Callithrix jacchus: one gene and its partners. The protein of the gene in region 1 interacts with the protein of each later gene in a pairwise test. Links are inferred from orthologs where the notes say so. Each region holds a gene or a part of one and is shown in the gene's direction. Other genes may lie near its edges. The genes, in order: SH2D4A, CDR2 and TACC1.

What was found.
Region 2: the proteins of SH2D4A (region 1) and CDR2 interact in binary tests that used the Homo sapiens proteins (3 or more experiments, as listed by UniProt). The two-hybrid records come from large-scale screens. The link is inferred for Callithrix jacchus from reciprocal best matches to the Homo sapiens genes SH2D4A and CDR2.
Region 3: the proteins of SH2D4A (region 1) and TACC1 interact in binary tests that used the Homo sapiens proteins (3 or more experiments, as listed by UniProt). The two-hybrid records come from large-scale screens. The link is inferred for Callithrix jacchus from reciprocal best matches to the Homo sapiens genes SH2D4A and TACC1.

Annotation. Positions count from the first base shown.
Region 1 is NC_133514.1:22,141,104-22,144,760, reverse strand, and holds part of SH2D4A (SH2 domain-containing protein 4A), read left to right. Parts: intron 1-2,171; coding exon 2,172-2,382; intron 2,383-3,657. UniProt on the Homo sapiens protein: Inhibits estrogen-induced cell proliferation by competing with PLCG for binding to ESR1, blocking the effect of estrogen on PLCG and repressing estrogen-induced proliferation. May play a role in T-cell development and function.
Region 2 is NC_133513.1:22,941,576-22,944,374, reverse strand, and holds part of CDR2 (cerebellar degeneration-related protein 2), read left to right. Parts: intron 1-1,327; coding exon 1,328-1,476; intron 1,477-1,733; coding exon 1,734-1,898; intron 1,899-2,799.
Region 3 is NC_133514.1:39,644,540-39,648,196, forward strand, and holds part of TACC1 (transforming acidic coiled-coil-containing protein 1), read left to right. Parts: intron 1-3,432; coding exon 3,433-3,657. UniProt on the Homo sapiens protein: Involved in transcription regulation induced by nuclear receptors, including in T3 thyroid hormone and all-trans retinoic acid pathways. Might promote the nuclear localization of the receptors.

The DNA of each region.
Region 1 (3,657 bases):
TTTGACTTTGTAATAAGAAGCACACAGGAATGCCAGGCTGGGTGTGTTAGCATCCTGCTCCTGCCTGTGCTCCAGCCCTGACTCCTTTTTCAGTTAGCAGAGCCAGTGAGAAAACTTACAGGATAAGAAGAAGCCCATGGCAGAGCAGAGGATGCTCCAGAATGCTAGAAGAATTAGGTTTGAGAAAGAAGTAGTGTTTCAGTCTGACTCAGAGAAGTCTGAACTGCTGGATCATCCTGAGGCAGCTTGAGGAAGAACACAGGTGTGGCTGCATTTGCAGGATGTTGCGATCCTAAATTGATCTGCAATCCCATTACAGCCAATGCCATTTAAATGACAATGTCTGTGAAATAAAAATATTCGCAAGATCCAGTGGCCTCTTTGTACTATGCAGTGAAATCCTAGTATAAGGGAATATTTTGGGTATCTCTTTGAAGTCAAACATAACAGGATTTGACCAATAATGCCTGAAGAGTAAATATACTCAATAAAAATTACTTTTTCATTCTGCATTAGAGTCTCATTGCTACAACAAAAAACTGTTTTGCAAAGTAGTCATGTGCTGTATAATGATGTTTTGGCCAACGATGGGTTGTATATATTTTTTAGGCCAAGTGCTGTGACTCCCTCCTGTAATCTCAGCCTTTTGGGAGGCTAAGCTGGGTCGATCACTTGAGGTCGCAAGTTCCAGACCAGCCTAGCCATCGTGGTGAAGCCGCATCTCTACTAAAAATACAAAAACTAGCTGGGTGTGGTGGGGCACACCTGTAGTCCGAGCTACTAAGGAGGCGGAGGCAGGAAAATCGCTTGAACCTGGGAGGTAGAGGTTGCAGTGAGCCAAGATCATACTACTGTGCTTCAGCTTGGGCAACAGATTGAGATTCAGTCTCAAAAAAAAAAAAAAAAAAAAAAAGACACAAAATAATAGGTTGCATATATTTTTAAAATAAAGATATTTTTAATACATTTTATTAATGTAGTATAGCCCAAGTATAAAGTGTTTATAAAGTCTACATTCATGTATAGTAATGTCCTAGGCCTTAGCATTCATTGAGCACTCACTCACTGACTCAACCCAGAGCATCTTCCAGTCCTGGTAAGTACCCTATATAGCTGCATCATTTTTTTGTCCTCTATACTATATTTTTACTATACCTTTGCTACGTTGGGGGTAGTTTTTTCATTTTTTATTTTTTGAGATGGAGTTTCTGCTCTTGTTCCCCAGGCTGGAGTGCAATGGCGTGATCTCGGCTCACTGCAACCTCTGCCTCCTGCTTTCAAGAGATTCTCCTGCTTCAGCCTCCTGAATAGCTGGAATTAGAGGCGACTGCTACCATGCCTGGCTAACTTTTTGTACTTTTAGTAGAGTCAGGGTTTTGCCATGTTGGCCAGGCTGGTCTCAAACTCCTGACCTCAGGTGATCCATGTGCCTTGACTTCCCAAAGTGCTGGGATTACAGGCATGAGCCACTGTGCCCAGCCTTATATTGGGGGTGTTTAGATACACAAATACTTTTGGGTTACATTCGCCTCAGGACGCATTTCTCAGAACATGTTCCTGTCATTAAGTGATGAGTGACTATAATTTTAAAAGGCAGGCTTGGGGTACTTCTTCGTGTTCTAATGTGTTCTACAGTTATCTGTGGTTAAGCATCTCTTTAATTTTTTTATCTGTTGGGCTCATTCTCATTCTATCCCACTTCCTGCTCCTTCACCCTATGCACAGCCCCATGCCACTGAATAGTCCAGATCTTTGCTAGCAAGTCAGGCACACTGCATCTGAACATGAGTCTATGCAGGAAGTGACAAGTGCCTCTTATTACTCAGCACCCTTGCCACTTTGAACCCTTGCTCAGGCAGGGACTCCTCTGATCTTATCAACTGCAGGAAATTCTTGCACACTTTTGATACTTCTCTCATCCCTTCTTCCTCCTCTTCCTTTTCTCTCCCTCTCAGAAAATCCCCAAACTCCCATATGAAGAGAGGAATCCTGCGGTGAACGCTGGGCAAGTCCTAATGACCTGGATCATAGGTGTTGATAATGAGTGTTCCTCATTATAAGCAGATCACAAACTGCTGGTAACCTGCGCTGCTGCCTGTTGTGCAATGCTGAGCCTTCTCACCTGCTCTGGGGGCTGATGAGGATGTTCTCCAACCCTGTTGTTTTTCTAGTGCGAAAATCCAAAGCAGCTGATGAGAAGAGACGCTCCTTGGCTAAACAAGCACGAGAAGACTACAAGAGGTTATCGCTCGGGGCCCAGAAAGGAAGAGGCGGTGAGAGGTTGCAAAGCCCCCTGCATGCTCCGCAGAAACCAAAAAGACCTCCCCTTCCACCGAAGCCTCAGTTCCTAAACCCAGGAGCGTATCCTCCAAAACCTCTTAGGTAAGAAGCCAAACAAATAGATGGCTTTAGGCCTAAGCATTGCAATGGGCTTTGAGTAAGCATTGAAATTAGGATGAATTGTATGAGCTGCCATAGGGTGTGGGAGGTCAACTGGCAGCCTGTGTAAGCTCAGGCTGACGTCTACGCCTTCTTCCTGGGTTATCTGGTCGGGCGCTCCTCCCCTTCTTAGCTGTCAAACATCCGTAGGTGTTATATTTAGCATACCCAGTGAAATAGTAAAGCCGTGCATGGAGTTAGAGAACTTCCTGTGTCCCCACCCCACTCTCCCCTTTTCCACCCAGAGGCAGCTGGCAAGCCAGTGAGGGGAGAAGAGGAAGCAAGGGGGGATTTCACTGATGCCCAAGGTCACCCTTAGTCAATGACAATCAAAGTAGGAACCCAAAGGCTTGCTGACTTTCATGTCATTAGTAAGACTACGTTTTCACTGCCAAGGATTGAAGGTTTGATGTAATTCTCATTCTGGGACACATAGCTGTTGGAAACAGATGCTTGGTGCTGCAAAGAAAAATAGCACTGAGACAATGGATCTCTCAGCAAAGCAATTTTTACTTTTTTACTTCCTGTACTGCAGAAAGGGTACCCTCACTAGCCTTCTTGCCACGAGAGTACAATGAACAAAGGAAAGCAGACATATTTATCTCTTATGCATTTGTGGTTGTCTTTACTGCTGTGTCTGATCTCTGTTGGTTGGAGCCAGACTTCACAATCCAAACTAAAACTGGATTGGCTAACAACTGAAAACTTTTTTAAACAGGTAAGGGGCATAGGCTACCAGCTGGGACATGCCTGTGAGCACATCTAGCACAGATATCTTAAAATACAAGGACATAGAATATACTACATTCCTATAAGCATGTCTAACAGGTACATAGGATAGGGCTTAATAAAGGGTTATTAGCAAACTTATTCTCTAACAGGAAAGGAAACTTTAGAGGGACTTTTCCACTTCCCACAATAGCCAAGTTTATCTTTCGAAAATTTGGAAAGGCTCCTTTTTTTTTTTTTTTTTTTTAAATGAATTGTCTATTTGGTGGTGGTGATGCTATTGTCTCTTAGGCTGTGGAAGAATTAGGAAGAACCATTTGTTCTGGAAAATCTCTGCAGAATAGTGCAGTGATGCTATTACAGAAACCCCCATCCCTTATGTTTGCTGATTATAAATTTTTTTTCTGGTTATTGATCTTATTTTATTTTTAACATCCTAGGATTTACAAAGAAGTATTAAAATCAAATATTGATAGAAGCAGAAATGTC
Region 2 (2,799 bases), on another chromosome or scaffold:
TTTCTTTGGAATATATATTGTGCTTTAGTGTCTTCAGGTAGAACTGAGGAGGGGAGGGAATCAAGGTGACTTACACTGCAGCATTAAGGTTGGGATTATTCTCCTTTATCCTTGGCCATTTAGGAAGCAGTCTTAATGCAGGACCAGAATAAATCCTCTGATAAATTTCTCATGAATAAGGTGACAGCATTCTCATAAAATTAAAAATAACAGGGGTCTTTGAAGCATATTAAGCTAAAATACTTTTCTTGTCAAAGCAACATGCTTTTCATTTTTTTTTTTTTTTGGTCCAGAATGCCTTGCTCAGAGAAATTGATCTTTCTTCCAAGTTAAAATCCTCCACGTTAGACTTTCTGTTAAATGTGATGTTTTTGCTTAAATTTTGATCACGTTACATGCTTTTAAGGGGTTATTATGTCTCACTTTAGATTTTTCGGTTGAATATTTTATGCATGATATGCTTTGGAAAATTAGCCTCACGATGCACTGGGGTATTGGTGAGCATCAGGGGAGCTAAGTCTGTAAAGGATAGCCTGTGCTCATTTCTTATGAAGACGGAGTTTAATATCTTCTCTTCTTAAAATAAATGTGATATTGTGGTATAATAAAAATTAGTATTTGGTCTTTGTCCCTGGCATAGAGCTTCTAAAACCCTTGGAATTTCCTGATAGAATGAGTTCTGGTCACCAGAGGAACCAACCACATGATTAGAGGTGTTAGATATATCAGTCCCAGCCCCACAATCTCTGTGTAGAGGGAACGGTTGGAGATTGAGTTCAGCCACCAATGGCCAATAATTGAATCAATAATGCTGATGTGAGAAGAAGGCCTGGAGAAAACTGAAATGGGTCTAGGAGAGCTTCTGGGCTGGGGAACACATGGTGATGCTGGGAGGGCAGTGGGCCCAGAGACGGAGACTGTATGCCAGCCTCCACCCTGACAATAGTTGGTAAAGAGAATCGATGTTGGAATAGCAGGTAACTTTTGTTTTTTTTTTCTTTTGAGATGGAGTTTGTGCTCTTGTTGCCCAGGCTGGAGTGCAATGGCACAATCTCAGCTCATTGCAACCTCTTGCCTCCCAGGTTCAAGCAATTCTCCTGCCTCAGCCTCTCAGGTAGCTGGAATTAGAGGCATGTGCCACCATGCCCATCTAATTTTTATATTTTTAGTAGAGATGTGGTTTCACCATATTGGTCAGGCTGGTCAGGTGACCCACCCGCCTCAGCCTTCCAAAGTGCTGGGATTACAGGGTGACCCACCATACCCAGCCAAGGAATAGCAGGTAACTTATCTGTTTGTGTCACCTGGCCCTGATCTTCTCTTACAGTATCTGACCAAGCAGGTAGAGCTTCTACGGCAGATGAACGAACAACATGCAAAGGTTTATGAACAATTAGACGTCACAGCAAGGGAACTGGAAGAAACAAATCAGAAGCTAGTTGCTGACAGCAAGGCCTCACAGCAAAAGATTCTGAGGTAAATTTTCTAGAATCTTTCAAGGAAAGCCTAGGGGGAAGTTCTTTAGTATAAACTAGAATAGAACATGGCTGCAGTGGGTTTGGGTCAATATGGGATAAGGTTTAATTTAATTCTTTTCGGAGAATGGAGATTAAATAGACATCCTTTCCAATTAAGAAAGCCCCGTGTGAGTGGCTTGTACCTAATCTCTCCTCACTGCTTTTGCCCTTGATTGAATATGACAAGCAGCAGTGGCTTCTGTCTGTTCCTCACAGCCTGACTGAAACGATTGAATGCCTGCAAACCAACATTGATCATCTCCAGAGCCAAGTGGAGGAGCTGAAGTCATCTGGCCGAGGGATGAGGAGCCAGGGCAAGTGTGACCAGGAAAAAGCTGCACCCAGCTTCGCATGTCTAAAGGAGCTCTATGACCTCCGCCAGTAAGAGCCTGTCTTACCCTGGAGTTACAGCAGGGACTGTCTCATGTCAACACATTCTGAATTCCAGTAGATTGAAAATATCATTTGAAGAAACGTCACTTAGCTATTAAGCTACCACTGGTTTGAACAAAAGCACTTAAACATATAAATTGTAGAGTTCTTGGATATTAGTAATTCTCATTTTGAAAGTCTTGGAGCACTTAGTGCTTTTAATGTGTTAAATCATAGTTTAAGATGAATTTCTTCTAATAGACTATAGATTTGAGAGTTGTGTTTTACATTAGAGTGAAGAAAAATAGAAATGTTGGTGAAACAAACATTCAAACGAACAGGAGGTTTTTTGCCTTTATAAATTTAAGTTACAAGTCTGAATCTTTAAGAAGTATTTATGGAACACCTGTTGTATGGCAAGCTGTATGCCAGACCTGAGGGATGGCGAGCAAAATAGAGTTCCTACCCCTGTGATCTTTCAGTCTAATGTAACAGCAGATAAGCAGATAAAAACACAAATAAATAGTCATGCAAGCTGCCTCAGACTGAGCAGGAGAAACCAGGTGGTTCCTTTGGTGGGACTCAACCTTGGCTGCTGTGTATCAGATCACCTCTGGAGTTTTTCAAATTGCAGATACCAACACATTGCCTCAGGCCTAAATCAGAATTTCTAGGTGGGGGTAAAAAGCTGCCCAGGCAATTCCAATGAACCTTCCTGGTTAAAAATCACCATGGCAACAGTGATTTGTTGTAGTGATTCAACCATAATTACATATTTTGAATAATTCAGAGAGCCTTCAGAAACACTCAGGCCAGGTGGCCGACAAACTAGGTTGGAATCTGTGGGTAGGGACCCAGGCACCAGTACTTTTTAAGGCTCCCCATGTGAGGTCATTGTCATACTGCTGTT
Region 3 (3,657 bases), about 18 Mb from region 1:
TGGTTCCTCATGAGTTTAAATCGTCTTGGTAGAAAATACAAAACTGAGATGTTTAAAAAAAAACATTTAAAAAAAAAATCTCAGCTAATTTAGTGCCGTGTCGGCCAGGTGTGATGGCTCACGCCTATAAAACCAACACTTTGGGAGGCCAAGGCAGGTGGATCACGAGGTCAAGAGACCGAGACCTTCCTGGTCAAAATGATGAAACCCCGTCTCTCCTAAAAATACAAAAAAAAATTAGCTGGGCATGGTGGTGCACATCTGTAGTCCCAGCTACTCGGGAGGCTGAAGCAGGAGAATTACTTGAACCCAAGAGGCAGAGTGAGCAGATTGCACCACTGCACTCCAGCTTGGTGACAGAGTAAGACTCTGTCTCAAAAAAAAAAAAAAATAGCGCCATGTCTATTAAATAGTCACTGTTAAAAGGCACATTTCCTGTTTTGGATGTTCTCAGATTCTCTAGGACCAACTGGGTTTCCAAAAATTCATTTCTTACACTATCTTTCCTTAGTGCAGATCCCACAAGTTAAGGGCTCAGTCCCACGAGACTGCTGCCATTTCAGATACCAGTCACAAGTCCCAGTGCTTCTGACCAACTGGCTGTAAATTTGGGGATTCTCCTAACCCCTCTTCTCAGTTTCAGTAATTTGCTAGAATGACTGACAGAGGTCAGGAAAATTCTTACATTTATTGGCTTATTATGAAGGATACAACTCAGGAACTACCAAATGGAAGGGATACACAGGGCAAGGTATCCCCATACCTACAGGAGTACAGAGCTTCCATGCCCTCTGGGCACACCACCCTCCCAGTAAGTCAACATGCTCATCAACTTGGAAGCTCCCTGATCCTGTCATTTACGGGTATTTATAAGTTTTATCACATAGGCATGATTGATTAAATTATTGGCTTTGGTGATTGAGCTCATTTTCTAGCCTTTCTCCCCTCTCTGGAAGGAGTAGGGGCAGTGCTGAAAGTTGACTTGGTATTTTTGGTGACCAGTCCTTTCCTGCAGCTGTCAAGGGACCTCCAGAACCCAGTCATTTATTAGCACAAAAAAGACACTCTGTCCAGTCAGGAGGTTCCAAGGGTTATAGGAGCTCTGTGCCAGGAACTGAGGACAAAGACAAAATATATTTTTTATTATACCACCTGTGTTAAATCTAAAAAGCTGACAATAAGGACTAAAACTTAAAAGGAGTAATAACTATCTACACCTTGATATATTCAAGACTCAGTGTTGTCAACTGGCCTGTATTTTTTTTTTTTGAGACAGAGTTTCACTGTTGTTACCCAGACTGGAATGCAATGGCACAATCTCAGCTCACTGCAACCTCTGCCTTCTGGGTTCAAGCAATTCTCCTGCCTCAGCCTCCCGAATAGCTGGGACTATAGGCGTGCACCACCATGCCCAGCTAATTTTTGTATTTTCAGTAGAGACGGGGTTTCACCTTGTTGACCAGGATGGTCTCGATATCTTGACCTTGTGATCCACCCGCCTCGGCCTCCCAAAGTGCTGGGATTATAGGCGTGAGCCACCGCACCCGGCCTGGCCCGTCTTTTAACTGAGCCGGTTGCACATGGACACACATAGATATTTGCAGCTCTAGGATGTTGATGACTTGTTTTTAGTTGTCTCTCTCCCTGTCATCAGCAGAAAGAAACAACACATTTATAACAGTTCACATATGTGGAGAGAGGTAATAGAATCTGTACACGTTAGTGAAATTGTCAATACACTTTAAAATGTTCTTCTTAAAATTTTGTATGTATTGCAGTTGAGTTTTTAAATTTTTTATGAAAAGTTTCGCAACTATATGACAGAGAAAATAGTACAATGGAAACTCCCATTTACCTATCCCTGGACAACAGTTACCAAGATTTTGCCATATTTACTATCTCTTTTTATAACAAATCCTTTTGAAATATGTTAAACCAAATTCTGGTTATGAGGCATTGAGATGTTTTAATACATTATAATTATTAATAATAGTTAAACATATAGTTAAAAGAAAAAATTTAATTGAACATTTGTAGACTATCTGAAATATATCTGTGAAGTATAATTTATAAACCACTACCCAATAATAATCATAAAAGATTCATGAGAAAGGTATGTGAGTGCTTTAAAAAATGATTCCAAATCCCAACTACTCGGGGAGCTGAGGTGGGAGGATTGCTTGAGCCCAGGAATTTGAGGCTGCAGTGAGCTGTGATCACACCACGGTACTTCAGCCTAGGCACAGTGGCTTATACCTGTGACCCCAGCACTTTCGGAATCAGAGGCAAGCAGATTGCTTGAGCCTAGCGAGTCTGTCCAAGCATGGTGGCTCATGCCTGTGGTCTCAGTTACTTGGGAGGTTGATGTGGGAGGATCACTTGAGTCTGGGAGATCAAGGCTGCAATGAGCCATGATCAGGCCGCTGCACTCCAGCCTGGGTAACAGAGACACTGTCTCAAGAGAAACAAAAATAAAAACTATTCCAATGATATTCCAGAGGTACTTGACTCTGATCCTGGATCAGGATTAGGAAGTAGGATTAGAGGGTCATCTCTTAATTTTTTCTTTTAAATCATGAGATATTATAACCAATTCACTGAGTTTTCTGTGCTACTCTTATTTCAGATATCTACGTCAGGAAATCACTTTGTACTTTAATGAAATTACCTCATTTACACCTTCCTAATATTTGTAGCACTCATCCTAGTAAGACCCCAATTTAAAAGGATTTTTATTTTTCACAGGTGATTTAGAGAATTCCTGGCCCATCTTAGAGACAGAGGTTCTAAAGAAAAAATAACTTCATTGTTTTATAATTTGTGTCTTAGTGAAGTAAGGGCTATTTGTTTTAAAGCCATTTCTGTAACTGGTTTTTCAAATTAGCTTCTTATTTGGCTCTTTTAGTTTTTAGGTCTACAGAGAGATGATTCTGAGTTGGTCACAGTAGGTTTTTTAAGTTTATTTTTGAATTCAGATTTGTTCACTGCATAAAGCTCTGACCCTAAAGCTGTCAGGCCGTGCCTAGGAACTGTCCTAGTGCCAGTCTGCATCCCTGCACCGTAGCTGTTGGTTTCTGAAGATTCCTCCAGACCAGTGTTAACCTACAGAATGTTAACAACACATAATATACATTGCAGCAGCCTGTTGCTCTATTTATCCTTTCTCTAAATAGTTCTTTTGGTGTACTTGGTATTCTTATCACTTGGATAATGCACATATACAACTTGGGATAAGAAAATTTATTTTAGGGTGTTGTGCCAGCTGTTCTCTTTCAGGCTGTGCTGCCGTCCTTGCTGAACTTTAGAGATGCTTAATAGAAGTAAAGAGGAAAGAACTTGCTATTTGTTTATGTGAATTTAGGTAGGACAGAATATTTACCGATGACAGAAAGATAATTCTTTAATAGATGGGTTTTTTTTTTCCCATTTTAGAATCACAAGAAGCTGATGAACAGCTTGTAGCAGAAGTGGTTGAAAACTGTTCATCTGGGACTTGTTCTAAACCTTCAGAAAATAAGGTGCCACAGCAGGCTGTTGACTCTCACTCACTCAAGAATTTCAAAGAAGAACCTGAACATGATTTTAGCAAAATTTCCATCGTGCGGCCATTTTCAATAGAAACGAAGGATAACACGGATATCTCGGCAGCCCTCAGAG